Linked DNA regions of Tamandua tetradactyla. The protein of the gene in region 1 purifies or fractionates together with the protein of each later gene. This does not show direct contact. Links are inferred from orthologs where the notes say so. Each region holds a gene or a part of one and is shown on either strand. Other genes may lie near its edges. The genes, in order: DNAJA1 and ENDOG.

What was found.
Region 2: the proteins of DNAJA1 (region 1) and ENDOG purify together in Homo sapiens (affinity purification with mass spectrometry; 3 studies listed by BioGRID and IntAct, counting the BioPlex papers as one, with this or other methods). This does not show direct contact. The link is inferred for Tamandua tetradactyla from reciprocal best matches to the Homo sapiens genes DNAJA1 and ENDOG.

The regions. Positions count from the first base shown.
Region 1 is NC_135328.1:62,869,808-62,880,361, forward strand, and holds the start of DNAJA1 (dnaJ homolog subfamily A member 1), read right to left. Parts: upstream 4,157-10,554; 5' UTR 4,007-4,156; intron 3,551-4,006; exon of another isoform or gene 3,114-3,550; intron 2,862-3,113; 5' UTR 2,852-2,861; coding exon 2,720-2,851; intron 2,565-2,719; coding exon 2,387-2,564; intron 403-2,386; coding exon 298-402; intron 1-297.
Region 2 is NC_135328.1:51,646,863-51,656,698, reverse strand, and holds ENDOG (endonuclease G, mitochondrial), read right to left. Parts: upstream 3,874-9,836; 5' UTR 3,551-3,873; coding exon 3,047-3,550; intron 1,948-3,046; coding exon 1,838-1,947; intron 840-1,837; exon of another isoform or gene 555-839; coding exon 272-554; 3' UTR 206-271; downstream 1-205. Other genes in the region: SPOUT1 (28S rRNA (uridine-N(3))-methyltransferase), read left to right, coding at 47-115; TBC1D13 (TBC1 domain family member 13), read right to left, coding at 7,234-7,555, 9,135-9,295. UniProt on the Homo sapiens protein: Endonuclease that preferentially catalyzes the cleavage of double-stranded 5-hydroxymethylcytosine (5hmC)-modified DNA.

The DNA.
Region 1 (10,554 bases):
AAATTTAGTTTGAGATGCTAGTGATGAATGAAAGCGAGGTGTAAGGGGTATGGTATGTATAATCTTTTTTTCCCTGTTATCGTTTTATTTCTTTTTCTGAATTGGTGCAAATGTTCTTAGAAATGATAAATATGCCACAATGTAATGATATTGAGAATTACTGATTATATATGTAGAACGGAATGATACGTTAATGTTTTTGTTTGTTCTTAATTTTTTTAATTAATAAATTAAAAAAAAACCAACCCATTTCTGATATATAGCCATCTCCACATTAGCAAACTAAAACAATCATACCTTCACATTTGTCGCAAATCACATTCTTTTGCAGAGCTAGTTTTCTTGTTGCACCATTATATAAATCTTCTAAGGTTACTGAGAGTTGATGTACAACATTTTTACCTAAAGCAAAATATTATTTATTAAAACCCTTGTGTTAAGACACTATTAAAATTGTAAAGGATAACGAAGTATGTGTTGAAGTATGAGCACATACACAGAATGTTCATATTTATCACATATCATCCTTGAACTGTGATGCAATTACAGATAAGGTTACTTGGGTCAGAAACGAAGTTAATTTGCCTGGGGATATAGATGTGGCCATTTTACAAATTACAATAAAAACATTACCTGCAAAAACTTCTGGGGAAAAAAAAAATCAATGTTATCTAAATAGGCACATTTCAAAGAATTAATCCAAACTTTTGTTTCTAATATATTCTTGGAACCTTTCATTTTGTGTGATATGGAACAACATGCCCATATGTCACTCAAAGATTCTTCCGCATAGTAAGCTCCTAGTAACTGAAATCTGTAAGGAAAGCTGTTGTATCTGAGTCGCCTTATAAATTCCTACATCCCTTCTTGATCAACAGGAATATAACTTTTTAATGTGGGCCAGCACTTGTTTAAAGATTAGCTTTCTTATAACTTACAACTTTCTATAACTAAGGAAACATTTTATATCTGCACTGGCCAGTACAGCAGCCATCTGTCACATTTGGCTATCGAGCCCATAAAATGTGACTACTGTGAGGAATTGACTTTTTATTTTATTTTAAATTACTCTACATTTAAGAACTACATGTGGCCAGTGGTTAAAAAGGAATGGCATCCTTAGAATGGAAAGTGGAAGGTTAAGATCATATAAGGACACTGTGGATAAAGAAATGAAGTCACCTGTCAATGGTTAGTTAATAAGTTCCTAGCCTAGTGATTCTTCCACAAGGACTTTATCCACCACCAAACAGTACTATCTTACACCTAAATGAAAAAGTTCTGAAACTTCTTCCTGCATAACATGCCCAAGGAACATTTTTGTTTGTTTCAGCTACATGTCACATACCACGAACTATACCCTTCTGCTCCTAACTGCACCTCTGGGTTCCGTATTGTACAGTCCCATGAAGTTAATTCTGCATGCTAAAAGCTATGTTTTTTACTTTAAACTTTGTTATACGGAGTCGGAAATGTAAAGAAGGAAAAATAAAATTTCTAAAGTTTGATGAAGCACACTATTTTCTGGTCTAATATGTTGGCTTCTTATTGATCTAAGCCATATAGGAATTTACGAATAGTTGTTACTAAAAAAACAAAAAATCAATCCTAATAATTTACTAATAAAGCAACTAATTTGGATTGTAGATTTTCTTTTTATAGTAAATTTCTACAAAATGAGCAAATAAAAACATATTTGTTTCCTTGAAGACCTTTGTGAGGACTGAGTAAACCAACAACTTCCAAAGTCTTTTTGAACGGTAAAATCTCAACAGTGAAATTTAATGCTTGCTAGTTTGTTCTGAAACTGGCTTCTAACCATTAAACCCTGTTTGTACTAACTATACTGAGAACAAAGTCAGAGCAATTTCTCTTGACCAGAATACTGTAGTTTTACAGTACACAACCACATTTCTGTTCAATGCTATAAACGTATAGTTTGGTAAAAGTGGTGCAAGATTCAACAGTTAAGTTACTTGGAGGCGACGAAGCTATCTTTCAATCCTGTAAGACCTTGACTACGTCAAGTTTCTGAACACTAACTCACCCTTGATTGAAAAAAAGGCCACAGTACCCACCACTGTGTTGCACCAAAGAGCTGTAAAAACGGCTTAGAAAATTATACTGTTAAACTTTGTCCCCTTAATTAACTTTAGCTTTAGTCTAAAAGCTAAAACTTACTAGAAGCACTTATTTATTACCACTTAATTACCTTAAGCATTTTTAGTTCCATCAAATCTTCACTTACAAAAATTATAAATCAGTTTGTGGCCAGTTGCAACTTTGTACCAACAAGTTAGAAAGCACTGGAATAAATGACGTCACAAGAATTTGCTTTGTTCAATGGCTACTTTAATTTGTTGCATATTGACCAGGTTATTCTTACCTCTCCTTTCTCTCTGCATCCTTCCACCACCTCCAAAAAACATATCAAAGATGTCCATAGGGGAGCCAAAACCCCCTCCTGCTCCACCCTCTTTAATGGCCTGTTCTCCTCCTTTGTCATATAATTCTCTTTTCTTGGCATCAGAGAGCACTTCATAAGCTTGCGAAATCTGTTTAAACTGTTTACAAGAAAGGAAACAAATTTCGTGTTTTTTAAACAAAAGTATAACAAAGCATAGCCACTATATTAGGCACTCTCAATTCCAGGTCCTAAAATATTTCATACGTCTGGCAAAAAACTATTCAGACAAGTTTAAGGATATGTATTACTTGCCTTCTCGCCTTCATTTGGATTCTTATCAGGGTGGTATTTCAAGGCAAGTTTCCTGTAAGCCTTTTTCAACTCTTCCTGGGTGGCATTGGGTTTGACCCCCAAAACATCATAGTAAGTGGTTTCTTTCACCATTTTCTACAGCCTGAAATTAAAAAATGCAATTTTAAGGGACTTTCAATTTGTACTTTCAGTTAGTAAAACCTGTCCTTTGCCAAGATCTGATTAAAATAACACAGCTTCTTAAACTTCAGAGTAAAGATAAGGATTCCTATGATAATTCAGCCCGAGTTCTAACAGACCACATACACACTAACAACTAAGAGAAAAATTCAAGTCTTAGCAGTTGGTTCCCACTCTCCCAAATGAAAGCCTCTGTAAAAACGCGACAATTAACCTGGATTGCTTATTTCCTATCCCCAGAGATGGTGACAAAACAGCAGTCATCCAAAGAACACCACCATATTCAGTCCATCGGTTATTACATTATCATTGTCTTCAGTAAATTCGATGAACGCCAAACACTAAGAAAATACATCTGGGCTCGACCGGGGGTGGGTGGACAACGTGGTTTATGGAACTCATTAGGAACATTACTTTCAGAGAGTAAGCGCCCCTCCCTCCCATCCTGAGGGACAGCTCTCAATCAAGGAGCTTATATCTCCTCCGCTTTCATCGCCGAGTCCCTCCTGCCCTACAAGCCAGTGTCAACCACTGTATTTACATCTCGCCAGGTTTCTCCCCTCACTTGGCGCCGTTTCCTTCCTTTCTCCTTCCTACCCTGTATCTAAGAGGTGGGGGTAGAAGCCCAGGCCTAAACAAAGAACGAAGGCAGGGAGAAGAAACGAAAGCGGCAGCTTCCGCCCCACCCCTCCCGCAGCCCCTGGCCCCTACCTCCCCCCGCGCCTGCGCGCAAAGGCGCCCACTCCGAGCGAGCGCGGGCGGAGGGGGCGCCAGGGCGCGCGCGGAGGGGAAGCGGAGGCGGAGACGGCGGCTCCCTGGGGACCTCAGGCTGGTTGGGGGATGGTTACGTGGGGGGGGGGGGCTGCGTGGGGGGGGGGCTGCGTGGGGGGGCACTCAGAGAAGGCCTCACGTCCACTTACTGGGTACCGGGGATGGACTGTCGGAGTACAGTCCGTGGATACCGGAATGGGGAATCGTGGATACAGGAACCGACAACCCTCCCGCCCACGCGGAGCTAACCGCCTCTAACCGCGGCTCCACCTGAATCCCCAGTGCCTCAAGAGTGCCAGCCTGGGGACGAAGGAAAATGCGAGGGCTGAGACTCACCGGTGAGCAGGCCGAGGCTGGTGAGGGGGAGCGGGAAGGAGCGCGTCGCTGTGCGCAGCTCAGGCACCCACCACTCCTCCACCTCTCACCGAGCGTTCTGGAAAGTTCCGGCCGGCGCGCCGCAGCCGTCGTCTTTTGTAGTCGAGCCGGGGCGCGTCACTCGCCGGAAGTCCCGCCCCTCCCGGCCACTGCCACCGCCCACGGTTACCTGGGCAACGGCGCGGGGGCACTTGGGCTGGGAGGGGCTGCGCGGAAGGGCCTTGTGTGGGGGGTGGGTACAAACCCACGTTCTCGACGCTTTTGGAAGCTTCTGGAGCCATTATCTTTCGGCAGCCCTAGGTGCGGAAATCCCGGGTGGACGCGGTTATTGTGCCCTGTGCGGTGCAATTCCGATGCAACTCGGGGATCTGAAACTATTGGGGCGGTTGCGGCTGCTCGATAGGGCGGGGAGGGCTCGGGAGCCAGGCGGCTGCCGTCTGCCGATTGGGAACTTCCCAGAACAAAGCACTGCAGCCCCTCCTCCCCACCGTCGCCTTTTCCCCCTCTTTCCCCTTCAACTGTGTTAGTTCTTGACCCTGAAGTTCTGGGAACTCGCGGAGCAAGAAATGCTGAGCGAGGTGGACCTAGTCCACAGACCCTTCTCAGGCCTTGAAATTTGGTCTTTTTTACACAGTCTAGAGCTTCTTAATTCACCAAACTGGGAGGGAGGAAGAGCCCTTTGTGGATGTCTCGGCCTCCAGGTGCACATTATCTGCCTTAAGCCTTTTTGTCGCCTTCGTATTGAGTGCAAGGAGTCTGGGATTGTGGTAAACAGAGAAACGTTTAGGATTGCTTAGTGCAAGCTGAGAACCATAGCTCCTTCCCTGGCGAGGGATCCCTCCTGGTTGGGCGAGTCGGGGACACGGTAGCGCTAAGAGTGGCTAGCTGTGAAAAATTGTTTTACGTGACTTTTAAGTCCCAGCATTCTGTGAACTTGGATCTAGAGTCTATGAAGTGAAACGTTGGGTATTCAAATGTTGGGAAGGAAGCATAATGGAAAACGGTGTCCATTTTCCTGAATGTAATACATTAAATTTATGACGACTATTTAGCACCAAAGAAGCAGCAAAATTGAGAAAGCATGGGCCATATCTCTTGGACTTAGAGGGGAAGCCTTTGAACTAAACCAGAACGGCAAGATAGTGGTCAGGAGGGGAGAGTTTCTAGCGTTAGATTGATTGGGGAAAGTAAAGCGTTTTGGGGAAAATGACGGTTATAGGGAGTTTTGAAAAGGGAGAAGAGCATTCCTAGGAAAGGATAAAACAGAAAAGGTTGAGAGGTGTGGGAAAGTATGATGTTTTTAGGAAATTGTAAGTAATTGAATACAGCCAGAGCTAAGGCTGCCGGAGTGGCTGGAGGTGAGGAGTCAGGTCGTTGGGAAATATCTCCATGCTTTGATATATCTTGCCAAGCTAAGAATTTTGAACTTCACTCGGAAGCATGACCCTGCCCTTCAGCCTTATTGCCCTCATTGATTTAAACGGGATACCTTTCAACCAAGCTGTCTGTAGTTTCTCAAATGCAGTTTTTCAAGTCCGCGTGATTTTGCTTTGCCTGTTAAACACTTAAATTTTCCAGTGTTACATATAACTTATGAAGTGTAACCCACACTTAATTTAAAGCCTAATATTGCCAGACGGTAATTGCTACGGCGTGCAATATAACGATTTTCTAAGTCATGGTATCTGCCCTCAAGGAGCTCACCACGTAGTGAGGGAACCAGAGACATAATATATTAAGAATATTTGGGGTACCAGAAAAGACAGTGTTCTATTAATCCATTCTTGGAAAAAAAAATATTTTGGTGCCGATTTGGGGAACTGTTTACCATACAATTAGGTTTGCCAAGCAGAAACCAGCAGATGTGAAGGCATGCATGGACATGAACAATAAATAAGCCATAACTAAATATATTGTTCTTGTGTTACATAAGAGTTTTAGTCCTGGAGTTCCTACTTTACTGTAATTTAAGTTATGCATTTATGATGTTAATATTGATTAAGCAAATGAAGTAAACATCAGTATGGTATATATCAAATGACTTCAACCAAGAGTTTCCACAATGACTACTACTATGTTTAGTGTTTCTGCTTCAGAAACCCACAAGTTTGAGAACTGCAAATGTGATACAAACATGAAGATAACTACTTGGCGCAGTGAAACGTGATGTTGAAGATAGTTTTAAAATGTGCAAGCTCATATAGTAAGTGAATAAATAATGGGCATAAAAGTTGGTTAATGAAAAATATATTGCTTGTGTATGCATAGACTACTTCTGAAGATACACAGTAACTTGTATGGTTGCCTATGGGGAGAGCTGTGGAGAAAGGGACTGGGGGGAGGGGACAGATGAGAGAGGCATTTCACAATGTATCTTTTTTTAAGCTTTTGAATTTTTAACCCACAAGAATGTAGTACTTACTAAAAACTCAGCTTAAAAAAGTATAAAATTCTTCCCTCTCAATTCAAGCTTTGAGCTAGTAACTTGTAACCCCAACAGCAAAGTTAGGTCATAGTTGCCTTAAAAGCCACCCTTACATATGTTCGTTTGACAGTTTTTCCTTGATAGAACCTATCTCGAAAAATACATTCTGGCGAATAATCTGGCACCTTAATAGTAGAAGTTTTGACACTTTTTTTTTCTTTAGAAGTTAATGCTTTTAAGAAGCATTTTTATTTACATAAAATACCCAAAACAGCGATAAGTTTATGTGATTTTTTTGTAGAAATGGGATCATATATAGCATAGTGTTTGTACCTTGCCCTTTTTGCTAAATTTGCTGCTATGTTACCATGCATATCATGATAAATATCTACCTTCCTATTTTCGATGATTTCATAGTATGTAGTATGCAGGACCATAATTCATTTAACTGTTCCCCTGTTGATGAATAATTTTATTTTTACAACATTTTACAAGCGGTGCTACAGAGGAGAGTTCTCAAGTAGATCTTTGGGTACTCATGTATCTATTTCTGTAGGAGGAACACTTAGAATTGAAACTTCTGGGTCAAAGTGAGTACAGATTCAAAATCGTAATAACTTTCCATATAAGTTCTATCAGTCTGTACTGCCCCCAGCAGTGTGAGTGGGCCTTGCCAACATGGAGGGTTCTTTTATTATTATTTTTAATCTTTGCCAGCTTTAGAGATAAAAATGATACCTTATTGTTTTTTTATTAATTAAAAAAAGATTAACTAACACAACATTTAGAAATCATTCCATTCTACATATGCAATCAGTAATTCTTAATATATCACATAGATGTATGATCATCATTTCTTAGTACATTTGCATCAATTTAGAAAAAGAAATAGTAAGACAACAGAAAAAGAAATAAAATGATAATATAGAGAAAAAAATAAAAATAAAAAATACAAAAAGTGTATATAAAAAAACACACAAACAAAAAAAACTATAGCTCAGATGCAGCTTCATTCAGTGTTTTAACATAATTACATTACAATTAGGTAGTATTGTGCTGTCCATTTTTGAGTTTTTGTATCTAGTCCTGTTGCACAGTCTGTATCCCTTCAGCTCCAATTACCCATTATCTTACCCTGTTTCTAACTCGTGCTGGTCTCTGTTACCAATGACATATTCCAAGTTTATTCTCGAATGTCGGTTCACATCAGTGGGACCATACAGTATTTGTCTTTTGGTTTTTGGCTAGTCTCACTCAGCATAATGTTCTCTAGGTCCATCCATGTTATTACATGATTCATAAGTTTATTCTGTCTTAAAGCTGCATAATATTCCATCGTATGTATATACCACAGTTTGTTTAGCCACTTGTCTGTTGATGGACATTTTGGCTGTTTCCATCTCTTTGCAATTGTAAATAATGCTGCTATAAACATTGGTGTGCAAATGTCCGTTTGTGTCTTTGCCCTTAAGTCCTCTGAGTAGATACCTAGCAATGGTATTGCTGGGTCGTATGGCAATTCTATATTCAGCTTGTTGAGGAATCACCAAACTGCCTTCCACAGCGGTTGCACCATTTGACATTCCCACCAACAGTGAATAAGTGTGCCTCTTTCTCCGCATCCTCTCCAGCACTTGTCATTTTTTGTTTTGTTGATAATGGCTATTCTGGTGGGTGTGAGATGATATCTCATTGTGGTTTTGATTTGCATTTCTCTAATGGCCAGGGACATTGAGCATCTCTTCATGTGCCTTTTGGCCATTTGTATTTCCTCTTCTGAGAGGTGTCTGTTCAAGTCTTTTTCCCATTTTGTAATTGGGTTGGCTGTCTTTTTGTTGTTGAGTTGAACAATCTCTTTATAAATTCTGGATACTAGACCTTTATCTGATATGTCATTTCCAAATATTGATTCCCATTGTGTAGGCTGTCTTTCTACTTTCTTGATGAAGTTCTTTGATGGACAAAAGTGTTTAATTTTGAGGAGCTCCCATTTATTTATTTCTTTCTTCAGTGCTCTTGCTTTAGGTTTAAGGTCCATAAAACTGCCTCCAATTGTAAGTTTCATAAGATATCTCCCTACATTTTCCTCTAACTGTTTTATGGTCTTAGACCTAATGTTTAGATCTTTGATCCATTTTGAGTTAACTTTTGTATAGGGTGTGAGATAGGGGTCCTCTTTCATTCTTTTGCATATGGATATCCAGTTCTCTAGGCACCATTTATTGAAGAGACTGTTCTGTTCCAGGTGAATTGCCTTGACTGCCTTATCAAAGATAAAATGTCCATAGATGAGAGGGTCTATATCTGAGCACTCTATTCGATTCCATTGGTCGATATATCTATCTTTATGCCAATACCATGCTGTTTTGACCACTGTGGCTTCATAATATGCCTTAAAGTCTGGCAGCTTGAGACCTCCAGCTTCGTTTTTTTTCCTCAAGATACTTTTAGCAATTCGGGGCACCCTGCCCTTCCAGATAAATTTGCTTATTGGTTTTTCTATTTCTGAAAAATAAGTTTTTGGGATTTTGATTGGTATTGCATTGAATCTGTAAATCAGTTTAGGTAGGATTGACATCTTAACTATATTTAGTCTTCCAATCCATGAACACGGTATGCCCTTCCATCTATTTAGGTCTTCTGTGATTTCTTTTAACCATTTTTTGTAGTTTTCTTTGTATAGGTCTTTTGTCTCTTTAGTTAAATTTATTCCTAAGTACTTTATTCTTTTAGTTGCAATTGTAAATGGCATTCGTTTCTTGATATCCCCCTCAGCTTGTTCATTGCTAGTGTATAGAAACGCTACGGATTTTTGAATGTTGATCTTGTAACCTGCTACTTTGCTGTACTCATTTATTAGCTCTAGTAGTTTTGTTGTGGATTTTTCCGGGTTTTCGATGTATAGTATCATATCGCCTGCAAACAATGATAGTTTTACTTCTTCCTTTCCAATTTTGATGCCTTGTATTTCTTTTTCTTGTCTAATTGCTCTGGCTAGAACCTCCAACACGATGTTGAATAATAGTGGTGATAATGGACATCGTTGTCTTGTTCCTGATCTTAGGGGGGGAAAGTTTTCAATTTTTCCCCATTGAGGATGATATTAGCTGTGGGTTTTTCATATATTCCCTCTATCATTTTAAGGAAGTTCCCTTGTTACCTTATTGTTTTAACGTGTTTCTTTAATGTGTTTCTTTGGAGTGGTTAAGGATCTTTTAACTGTTTACTGATCGTTTCTTCTGTTGACCATTTTTCTATGGTGTGATGCCACAATTTTAATGATGCACTTTTATATTAGAGATATTAGATGTTAGTCTGTTATGTGTTGCTTTTAGTTTTCCAATGTATTCTTAGTTTTTTATTTATTATCCATATTTGTACCTTTTTTGGCCATATAAAGGTTTTAAATTTTTATTTATTTATTTATTTTACATGGGCAGGCACCAGGAAGCGAACCCAGGTCCTCTGCCATGGCAGGCACGCATTCTTGCCTGCTGAGCCACTGTGGCCCACCCAAGGTTTTAAATTTTTAGTTAGGTGAGTTTTAACTTTCACCTTTTTTGACTTCTCTTTTTTTTCTTCTTCTTTCCTTTCCCTTTCCCACCCCTCCCCTTCTTCATTTATTATGTTTATACCAATCCAACATTATTAATATATTCTCCCAGGTTTTCTAGTACTTTTCACATATAGTATAATTTTCTCTATGCTGTATGGGATATGTTTTGGCTTAAAATATGAGGATAGTTTGTGTTTATTTTTTAATTTTAGAATAAGTTTTAGCTTTACAGAAAAGTTGCAAGGATAGTACAGAGGTTTCTGTATATCCCACACCCAATTCCCTGCTTAACATCTTACATTAAGACAGTACAGTTGTCACAGCAAATGAACTAATACTGATAAAGTATTATCATCTAAACCCCATGCTTTATTTGGATTTCCTTGCTTCTAATGTCCTTTTTCTGTCCCAGGATTCCATCTAAGATACCGCATTACTTTTTGTTATGTCTCCTCAGATTCCTCTAAGATTGTGACAATTTTGCAGACTTTCCTTATTTTTGTTGACTTTGACAGTTTTAAGGAATAC
Region 2 (9,836 bases), about 11 Mb from region 1:
GACCCAGGCAGCCTTGTCCCAGCATACTGTCACACTTCTCTTCCAGGAAGCCATCCTCATCTCCCTGTCTGCCCTGCAGCCTGGCCTCACCCAGGCAGGTGCCAGGCCCAGCTGAAGGTTCTTTCTGGCCCAAGAAACTGAAACAGCAGCGTTGAAGCCAGGGGTTCCTACAAGACATCTGGGACAGACATAGCCAAGACCTGTCTCAAAAATAACTACATTTAATGTGATCCAACTCCTGTATACCCACAGTCTCATCAGGCTGCCTCCCTCACTTGCTACCAGCAGTGATGGCCTTGACGTTGCCTGCTCGTGCCAGGATGTTTGGCACAAAAAGCAGCCCTGAGGCCCTCTCGATGCTCTCAATGGGCACCAGGAAGCGCTCCAGTGGGATGGCCTCGTCCACAGGTGCGTTGGGCATCACATAGGAGCGGAGCTCAATCTGCCCACCTGCTGCCTCCAAGATCAGCACCTTGAAGAAGTGCGTCGGCACTGCCACATGGTTCTTACCAATGACCTGGTACTTCACGTAGGACTTTCCATCAGCCTCCGTCCTGTGGGCAGACCCAAGCACATGTCCTTTCAGGGCTTCCTGGGGGCCTGAGGCTTGGTCCAACCCCATGCCAACGCCTCTTCCTCCAGGAAGCCTTCCCTGACCCAAAGTCCACTTCTGTCAAATGCAGGGCAGCCCCTTGAGTGTGAGGCTTCTGTACCTTGCTCAGCTCCCCCATGAGGCTGAACTCTTAACAGGGAGGGCACTGCCTCTTACCCTGAAGTGTTTTCTTCATGCCCAATACTGAGCCAGGCAGAGTACATGGCAATAAATACTGCTAAAAGAACCAGGCCTCCTAAACATTCACATTCCTCTTGTGGGCATTTAATTACTGTTTGTCTCTCTCTGTGGGTGGTATGCAAGGACCATGATGATTTAATCCCCAGTACCCAGCAAAGGGCCTGGTGTGTAGTAGGTACCCAGAACACTGAATGAATGATTTACTCCATTTCTGTAGGCCATAGGAGGCACTTGCTAATTAAAGCTTATCAATTCTCCAGCCACCACCCCAGCCAGCTCCTGCCAAGCCCTTATTGTTGGCCAGACCCTGAGCTAAGCAGGTGACATTCACCATTCTACTCAGTCCCCTCAACAACCCTGAGGTAAGAGGTACAGTCCTCTTCTTACAGGAGGGTCATTCAGGCTTATAGGTCACTTGCCTACCACCACCTAAGAACTAGGTATTAGGACCCAGATTCCATCCCAGGTCTGTACACTCCAAAGCCAGCTGCTTAGCCACAACCTATTGCCTTGCTCATCCCTATCCTCAACAGACCAGAAAAAATCAGATTGTGCAGAGAACCTCATTCCCTTTGACCTGGGAGCTAGAGTTACACCAAGGCACAATAGTGAAGGTTTTGAACCAGTCAGATCTGAGTTAAAATGCTGGCTCCAGGGGAAGGGTGTTCAGAGCAGAGAAAACCCAAGGCAAAAGAGCTTGGTGCATTGAGGGATCTGCAAGGGTTTCTGCCTAGGTAGAATACAAATTTGGCTGGGATTGGGTATGGGAAGAGGTAATGGAGAGGAGCAGGGCAAACTCAGAGGTAATGGAGAGAGGAGCAAGGCAGACTTAGGGTCCAAGAGAGAAATGGTGTAGGTGGATACCCAAATGGAATGGAATGCAGGTCCAAGGCAGGGAGAAGGACAGACCTATCAAGAACCAGAAGAGTACTGACTTGGTGTTGATCCGGAGCCTGAGGCAAGCGTGAGTGGTAAGAAGGGACTTCCAGATGGGTGGGAGACCATGTCATCCCCAGGTCCCCCCACCCCTAGTTTCAGTCTCACCTGGGCAGGAAGAGAGGCCCTGTGCAAACATAGACATTTTGATAGGTACGGGTCAAGCTGCGGCTGTACTTCTCCAGGTTGTTCCAGGCATTCTGGTTGAGGTGGGGTACCTGGGAGGAAAGGGGGTTAAGTGGGGTATTCCCCTTTTCCCAGGACTGTCCCAGGCCCTGAGGGGATGTTGGCATCAAGCAGGGGGATATCTAGCTATGGGCAAGCAAGAGCAGGAAAGTGAGGTTCACAAAGGAGAGTCATTCCCCAAGGTGACATGGTCATGAGGGCCAAGTCCAAATATGGCTAATGAAGATGCTACCCTCCCATCTAGAATGGAAGGGCTAGGCACCCCTAAGTCTCAGTTTCAAAGAGGTATATGAAGGAAGACGTACATCTTCCCCATTAAGATGAAAGAAACAGGCCTGGCCTGCAGAGGGCTTCACCAGAAGACCAGCTCTCCCAACCATCTCTTCTTTCCTTCTAATCTAAACTACGTGTAGAGCTTAGCGAGAACTTCTTGAATCTGCTACTGACTCCATCACTTTAGCTGGCGCCCAGGCCTCATTATGATGTCTAATAAAATGGGTAAAGGACTGTACTATTGAGAGAGCATAAAAAGAAGTCAGGCTGGAAGCTCATACCCCACAGGCCATTCAGAGCCCCACATCAACCTCCATGGACTGGGTGCCAGACCCTGTTGGGAGTGGGGCCAGAGGTTGAGTGGCTTATCCAGGGTACACGGTAACTGGTATTAACAGCCTGAATGCTTGCCAGCTATTTTTCCTTTTGCTCCTCTCAGACAGGCAGATTAGGGGGCAATGGCTGAAAACTTAGGTTCGTCTATATAGACTGCCTGGGTTCTCCTCCTTCCAAGGTGTGTGACACTGGATTAGTCACTTGGCCTCTCCAAACCTCAGCTTTCTCAAAAAAAAGCCACTAATTAACATTCACTGAATGCTTGCCGTGGGCCAGGAAGTGTATTCAGTACTTTACATGCATTGTATCTTTAATTCCTCAACACTACCGCAAGAGGGAATTACCCCATTTTACAGACGAGAGCACTGACGCTCAGGCGCGGCCCACAGCAGAGGCGGCGCTCTCCCCTTCCTCCTACAAGTGCAAGGCAGGATCAGTAAGGCACCTGGCCTGGAGCGCGCACCCGGCGGCGACTCCATGCTGCAAAGGGGCAAATCCAGGCTCAGAGAGGCAAAGCGCTACCTGGGGCGAGACGTTGCTCAGGTAGAAGGTGTCGTCCATGGCTTTCTGGCTCCAGCGGTGGTTGGCAGCGGCGGCGAGGTGGCCGCGGTCGAAGCCGCTGCCGCGGTAGTCGGAGTTGGTGGCGCGGTGGTACGCGTGCACCGATTCGTCCTCGCGAAAGTCGCAGGAACGGCGGTCGCCATCGCCGCGGAGCCGCTCGGGCCGCAGCTGCTCGATCACCCAGAGCGCGCCGCGGGTGCGCGGGTCGTAGCACAACACGTACGATTCGCGGTTCTTGAGCTGAGCCAGCCCCGGCAGCCCGTACTTGGCCAGCTCACCCGGGCCGCCACTCGCTGGTCCCCCGGGCACCGCGGGCAGCTCGGCAGCCGCCACGGGCAGCACGGGCAGCCTGCCCAGAAGTATGGGCGCTGCTTGTGCCTCTGCCTGCCGCCGCCGCCAGCCTTCGGCGGCCGCGCCCAGCCCAGCGCCCAGCGCCAGGGTCAGGCCGGCCCGCAGCGCCCGCATAATCCAGCACCGTAGTGGGAGCGGGAATGGAAAGTGCCACTCGGGACAGAGGGAACCCGGCGACCTCCGACGCCCAACCCGTGAGGCTCTTAAAGGGGCCGCACCAGCCCGCGGGCCCACCGTGAGGATGGGGGCAGGCGGAGACGTGGGAGGGTGAGGATTCGTCCGTCTTTCTATTCACAATTGCTCAGAAAGGCTGGAGACTCGCAACGAGAGAAGGACCAGCAGCGGGTGCACATTTCGGCTCTCGTTCTTTGCTCTTTAAAGACGCAGGCTTGAAGTGTGGCAGGCCCACTTTGCGCTAGGACTGGCCATCGCCTGCCCGGCTCCGCCCTGCCCCCCCCCACGTGTCTACACCGAGGGACCCTCCCCCATCCAGGCCGTACAGCTATTTCTTAATAAGCTCCAAGAAGTGTCAAGTACAGGTCTAAACTCTTTAATTACTACTTCATGTAATACTCAAAAGAGCTCCAAGAAAAAAAAATTTTTTTTTAAAAGAGCTCCTAGAGGGAGTTCTTGGTTGGCAGGACAAGGACAAGACCACAAGTCTGACATCAGAGCCCGTCTTCCTAACCATAACACTGTAAAATAAGCCAAAATGCTACCAGACTGGTAAAGATTTCCTTAACAGCATCCAGAGCTGAGACAAGGATGCAGGCAGCCTATGCAAACAGCTGGGTGGAACAGAAACCGGTACAACGATTCCAAAAAGCAGCTTGGCAGGATGCATGAAAAGCCTTGAAAAGGCTCAAACCTTTCAACCTACTTAGACAACTGAGCTGGGAAAATAATAAAAAATGCAAGATTTCAAACACGAATATTCAACACAGTGTTATTTAAATAATAGGTGCTAGAATAAGCAAAAGATTCAGAAATAGGGACTGGCTAGTGGACATATATTAGCATATTAGATGAAATAGTATGTAGCCCATGAAAATATTTTACAGCAACATGCTATTATCTTAAATAGGGACATATACAAAACAGTACATCAATAAAAAGAATTACATCTGCATAAAAAATAAAATGGTATCAATTATCTCCAGATTATAGGATAATGGGTGACTTGTTTTAGTTACGTGTTTTTGAATTTTCAAAGTTTTTTAAAAAATAATTTGCTGTGTAACCATGTTAGAAGTACTTTCCTAGTCAACATTCCTTTATACTTCCAGATGTATATTGCTGTAGTTGAATTAGAAGATCTGAATAGGCTCTTGCAACAAGATTTCCTGGATTTTGTTTAGACCACTCTGAGACGTCTGACTCTATCCTTGCTCAAACTTTTTTCCCTGCTCCTAGAGTTTTCAGTAGAGGATAGCACCAATGGCCACTGGAAAGAACACATGATTTATTAAAGACAATTTGTCATCACCAGCATTGATTCAAGAAAAAAAAAAAAGAAAACACAAAAGCAGACTAACATTCCCACCCTCTGGAGTGAGGCCTGCTAAACTCATACAGCCTAATCTGTAGAAGTGTCTGAAGTCCGGGGGACAGTTTCTCAAGTAGGAAGCCTTGGGCACTGTGGCTCTCTTGGGCCCTTCCTTGAGGAATGGGGGACAGGGAATAGTCAAGGGCAGGTCCTTCCCTTAGGCAGTATCCTACTGGGAAGCTCATCCTAACTAGAACATGGTCCCTATGATCTTGACCTTCATCCCAAGATCAAGGAGAGGGCACTGGACACAGGTCTGCCACTGAGGCAAACTAGGTACAGTGATTCAAGTAGTACAGCCCAGGGAAGGAAGGAAGGTGAACAGGCAAGAGGGGATGCATAGCTGTCCTGGGCAGTGTCTGCTGGGTCCCAGGCCAGGGCCCAGGCCTGAGTCTGTGAAGAGATCAAAGTTGGGGCTGAACCACCAGCTGACAAGCCCTGGGAGGAGGGTGGGTCAGGCTGGGGAAAGCAGTGTGTGTCTCTGCCCCATCACAGGGGTCTCAGGGTATGGCAAGCATACCAGTTGTCTTCTCTCTACCCTTCCACTCACATCCAGTATAGAATTTAGAACCCTCCCAGCCAGAACCTGTAGAAACCCAGAAAAGTCCCAGAGGCAAGAGGAGAGGATGCTGGCTCTGACCTTCAGAAATCAGGACGACACTGTCTCCAGCTCTACCTTCTGTGCACCAGCCCCAAGCCTAAATTAAGCACTTGCTAATCTGTAATAAATAATCAAGAGTCTGAATAAATAGTTACTATCTCCCCCAAATACTGAGTATCAAGAGAAGTATCAGCAAAAAAGGCAAGTGCATAAAGTTCCAGCAGAATCCAAGGTAGAGCATTTGCTGGGGTAAGCCGTTTCTGGTCCACAGCTGGGCCTGGCTGCCTGATTTAGGAAAGCTTTGAAGCAAGAGGACTCCCACAGCTTTGTTCCTGCTGGCCAGTCTAGGGAGGCTAAGGGCCCCTGCTACAGTACCTGCCCTTCCAGGCCAAAATCACCTGCCTCCTCACAAAAGAAGGGAGGGAGTATGGTGGGCATAAGTACCACTCCTCCCACAGCCCAGCCCCAGGAGTAGCCAGCTGCTCCTGTTCAGAGTTCACCTGCCCAAAATTCTGGGAACAGCCAAAGCAGGTGACTAGAAGAGAAGGGTGAGTACCTCCTTCAGCCTGCTTAGGAGATGACAGGACACACAATGGAGCAGAGACAAGGCCCTCATGGCACAAACAGGATTCAGGACCTTTGAGCTCAGCTATAACAGGCACAAACAGGATTCCACTTACCCTTTTTGGGACTCACTACCCTGCACTGGGACCTGGAAGCCAAGGGAGTGACAATTCTTAGGAAGCACTTGGATCCCAACCCTTGGAATAGAATTACCTTTTCTATTCCCTTGGAGTACAGACAATCCCCAAAGAGAGAAGGGCCTCAGGGTGGACTCTGGAGAGAGACTTATCTCCCTCTTCATTCCTCAGCAGCTTCTGGTTTCCAAGATTTCTATTGTGGGGAACAAGTTAAGGGACCTCTAGAGAGGCACTATGGATTTCCTCCCATTTAGAAGGACCAGGGAGCCTAGGACTGGGAGATAGGAACAAGATGCAAAGGCCAAGGTTGACCTCCTGAGGCTTTGCTGAGCAAGACTCTTCCACAATCTGTCTTACAGGTTGACGGGAACAGAGAGGGAAGGAGGGGAAGAGGCTCAGGATAAGGCACCCCAAGAGAAAAGGGCAGAGGGAAAGCAATGGAGAGGAACATACCAGAGTAAGAGTTATTCACACCCTCGGTGAAAGAGGCAGAGGGAAAAGAGAGGGAACCAGAGATAGAGAGGTAGAGAGACAGACCTAGAGGGATTCAAAGATACCCTTACATACCCACTGACTGACAGACAAGACAGAAAAGCTGCTGAGACACCTGTGGAATTCAGAGGTACATCTAAGCCAACCTACAACCAGGCATGTACACTCAGTGGAAGAGAGATGGATGGCATGACCTCAGCCTGTCAGCCTCTTGGCTCCTTCATAGTGTCACTTTCCCCATGGAGAAGGATAAGCACCAATGCTCAGATGAAGTGGAATCTGAGCCATCTGCCCAGCTTCTTCACCACTCCCCCTTACCAGACTCCAGGGGAAGATGAGAAGCAGGAAAGGAGAAAGGGAGCCACAACAGAGGCAGGAAGGGACCCTTGCCAGTCTCCCAGTCCCCTTAAGCTGTCCTCAGTCCTGGGAAACAGAACTTCATGAGTTCCAACCTTGCTCAGCAGTCTGGGCAGAGGGCCCCAGGGATGAAGAGCAGGGAGGAAGACAGGGCTTGGTGGTTAGGGAATAACAGCACAGTGTGCCCCCAATGGGAGCGGCCTAGGTCAAGGGAGCCAGGGTGAGAAGGCCTGGAGTATGGCCAATTCTGCAGCTTCCCGTCCGGCTGGGGATCCCACAGGCTTCTGCACATCTCAGAAGTAAGGGCACAGGGGTCGGGTGGCTTCTCTCCCAAACCTGGGTCTCCTGTCACGAGGCTACTTTGAGTCTTGGAGTTCCTTGGCTTTCTGTAAGATCTGGCAGACATCTGTGATGGGGTAATCCTAGACATAAGAAAGGCCAACAATAATATACATTTTGTTAGAATAGAAAAAGTGTGATGATGGTGGGGTGGGTGGGTGGATGGGGACCTAATAAAACAGAAGTAACATTTTGGCCCTGGCATTACAAGAACACAGGCAGTGTTAGGTCTCCAAGTCTTAGAATTCATATATAACGGTACACTATGTAATGTAGAGTCTATGTAGTATAGTAAGTTTACATTTGAAAATATCAGGATATTGCTATTAAGCTTTGGGGAAGTAGTGGGGAGGGCTTTATTTTCGCCTCTGCTTGGGCCAGGCAGCAGATGAGAAGCACTGGTATCTAGGGAACTTGTAAGGGCTTGTGGATAGAATTAAAAATATAGTTAATACCAATTAAGTATAATTAAAACCTTATACTTTAAAAAAAAAAAAAGAAAGAAAGAAAGGCCAACAATATGCCTGTGAAGTAACCTGACTCTTTGCCACCTTTGTCATATCCCTGCCTTTCCACAGGGGCCTTCACTGTGCTGGGACTCTCAGACTCAAGGACAGGGACCACGGATACCAGATACCCTGTGTTGCTGCCCAAAGTCCTGAGGTAGCTAATGCTACATCCACTGCAGTACTAACTTAACCAACCCAACCAGTGCCACCCAAAGGGTCATAGCTGGTTCCTTAGGACCAGACCCTATCCAACCTCACCTCTCCCCAGCCGCTGCCCTCAAAACCTGAGTTCCATTCATAATGAGCCTGGTACTGTGTCAAACACCATCCATGTATTACCTCACTGAATTATCACAACAGTTCTACGATTTACTTGATTTAGACAACGAAGTTATTAAAAACCAACCCTAGGCCAGGAGTTGATGAAGAAACGGAGGTCTAGAGAGGTTGGTACTTGTCTCAGGTCATATGACTAGTATAGCAGCACAAAGACACAAATTCAAAGCTGCCCGACCCTTGTGTCCATGTTCTTAACCACAAGGCTCCACCCTCTCCTTTCTAAGTCCCTCCATCCCTGAGCATGATTATGGTGAGCATTACCAGGGTGCCCGCTGTGCTAGAGGTACACTTAACTTCTGGAAAGCACTTAGTTTAGAGAGGCCAAGTCATTCACTAAAGGCAATACAACACTCAAGGACAGTGGCAGAGCCAATATTCAAACCCAGCTCTGCCTCAAGGATTTGGATTCCTGCTGCACTCTACACTTTACTGTTCCTGACCCTAGCCTGTCACAGCAGCAGGAACAGGGTGGGTGCCTGAATAAAGACAGAGCTTGCCCCTCCAAACTTCTATTACCTGCAGGAGCCGCATGTTTACAGTAAAGTCCCCTTCCAGCAACTGCTCCCGGATCAGTCTAAGAAACACAAACAGCAAAAGCTCTAGAACCCTGGGCCACTCTAAAGATGAAGGCACAGCTAAGCCCCTTCCCACTCCTTCCTTTACCACCCACAGTGAGTTTGCTTTAAAGTTCTCTCAGAGGCTCATTCCAGCTCTGTGAGAGGAACCCCCTACTCTCCTGAGGGCAGAGTTCCTCCCTTTTATTTATTCCAGTGCCTGGCCAGATGAGCAGACATCTAATCAAGCCCACACTCACATGAGCATGGCACAGCAGACAAGGAGCAGGAAGTCAAAGCGGTTGTCATCAGCGAAGAGGGAGTCCCAGATCCGGATGACATCAGGCAGCAAGAACTCCTGGGATAACAGCAGTGTCAGCCAGCGGAAGGCGAAGAACTGGGGCTTGATATTCTGCTCTTGCTGAGGAAAGAGGGATATGGGGTGGTGTGCCATGTGCGTTTGTTGTTTGCCACCGACTATCACACAGCCTATTAGAAATGAATTCAGATGACCATTAGCACCAAGACCCACAACCTAATGTCAAGGTGTCAGCACGGCAGGTGGGAGTACCAGGTATGCTATATGGAGGTGAGGGTGGAGAGCCTTCTGGTTAAGTTACTGCTTGGCACCAGTTAATGTTATCAGACCTCCCAATTTTACAAGAGAAGCCAGAAATTCAGATGTTTATATAAACTCTCCAGATTTATAAATGATGGCTTAAACTCCTTTAAAATGCTGAGAGATTTATGACCTTGGATTTATGAGCATCCATAGTGACCATTAACAGGCACTAAACTACAAACCTAGTTTCGTGCTTTATTTAGCATGTTACACATATTACCTCACTTATTTAATCCATTACCACAACAGCTATGAGGCAGTTATTACCATTTTAGAGATAAGCCCTCTGAGCAGTATTAAGTTGAAAAGCATGTTCGAAACTGCATAAACATGACTATCC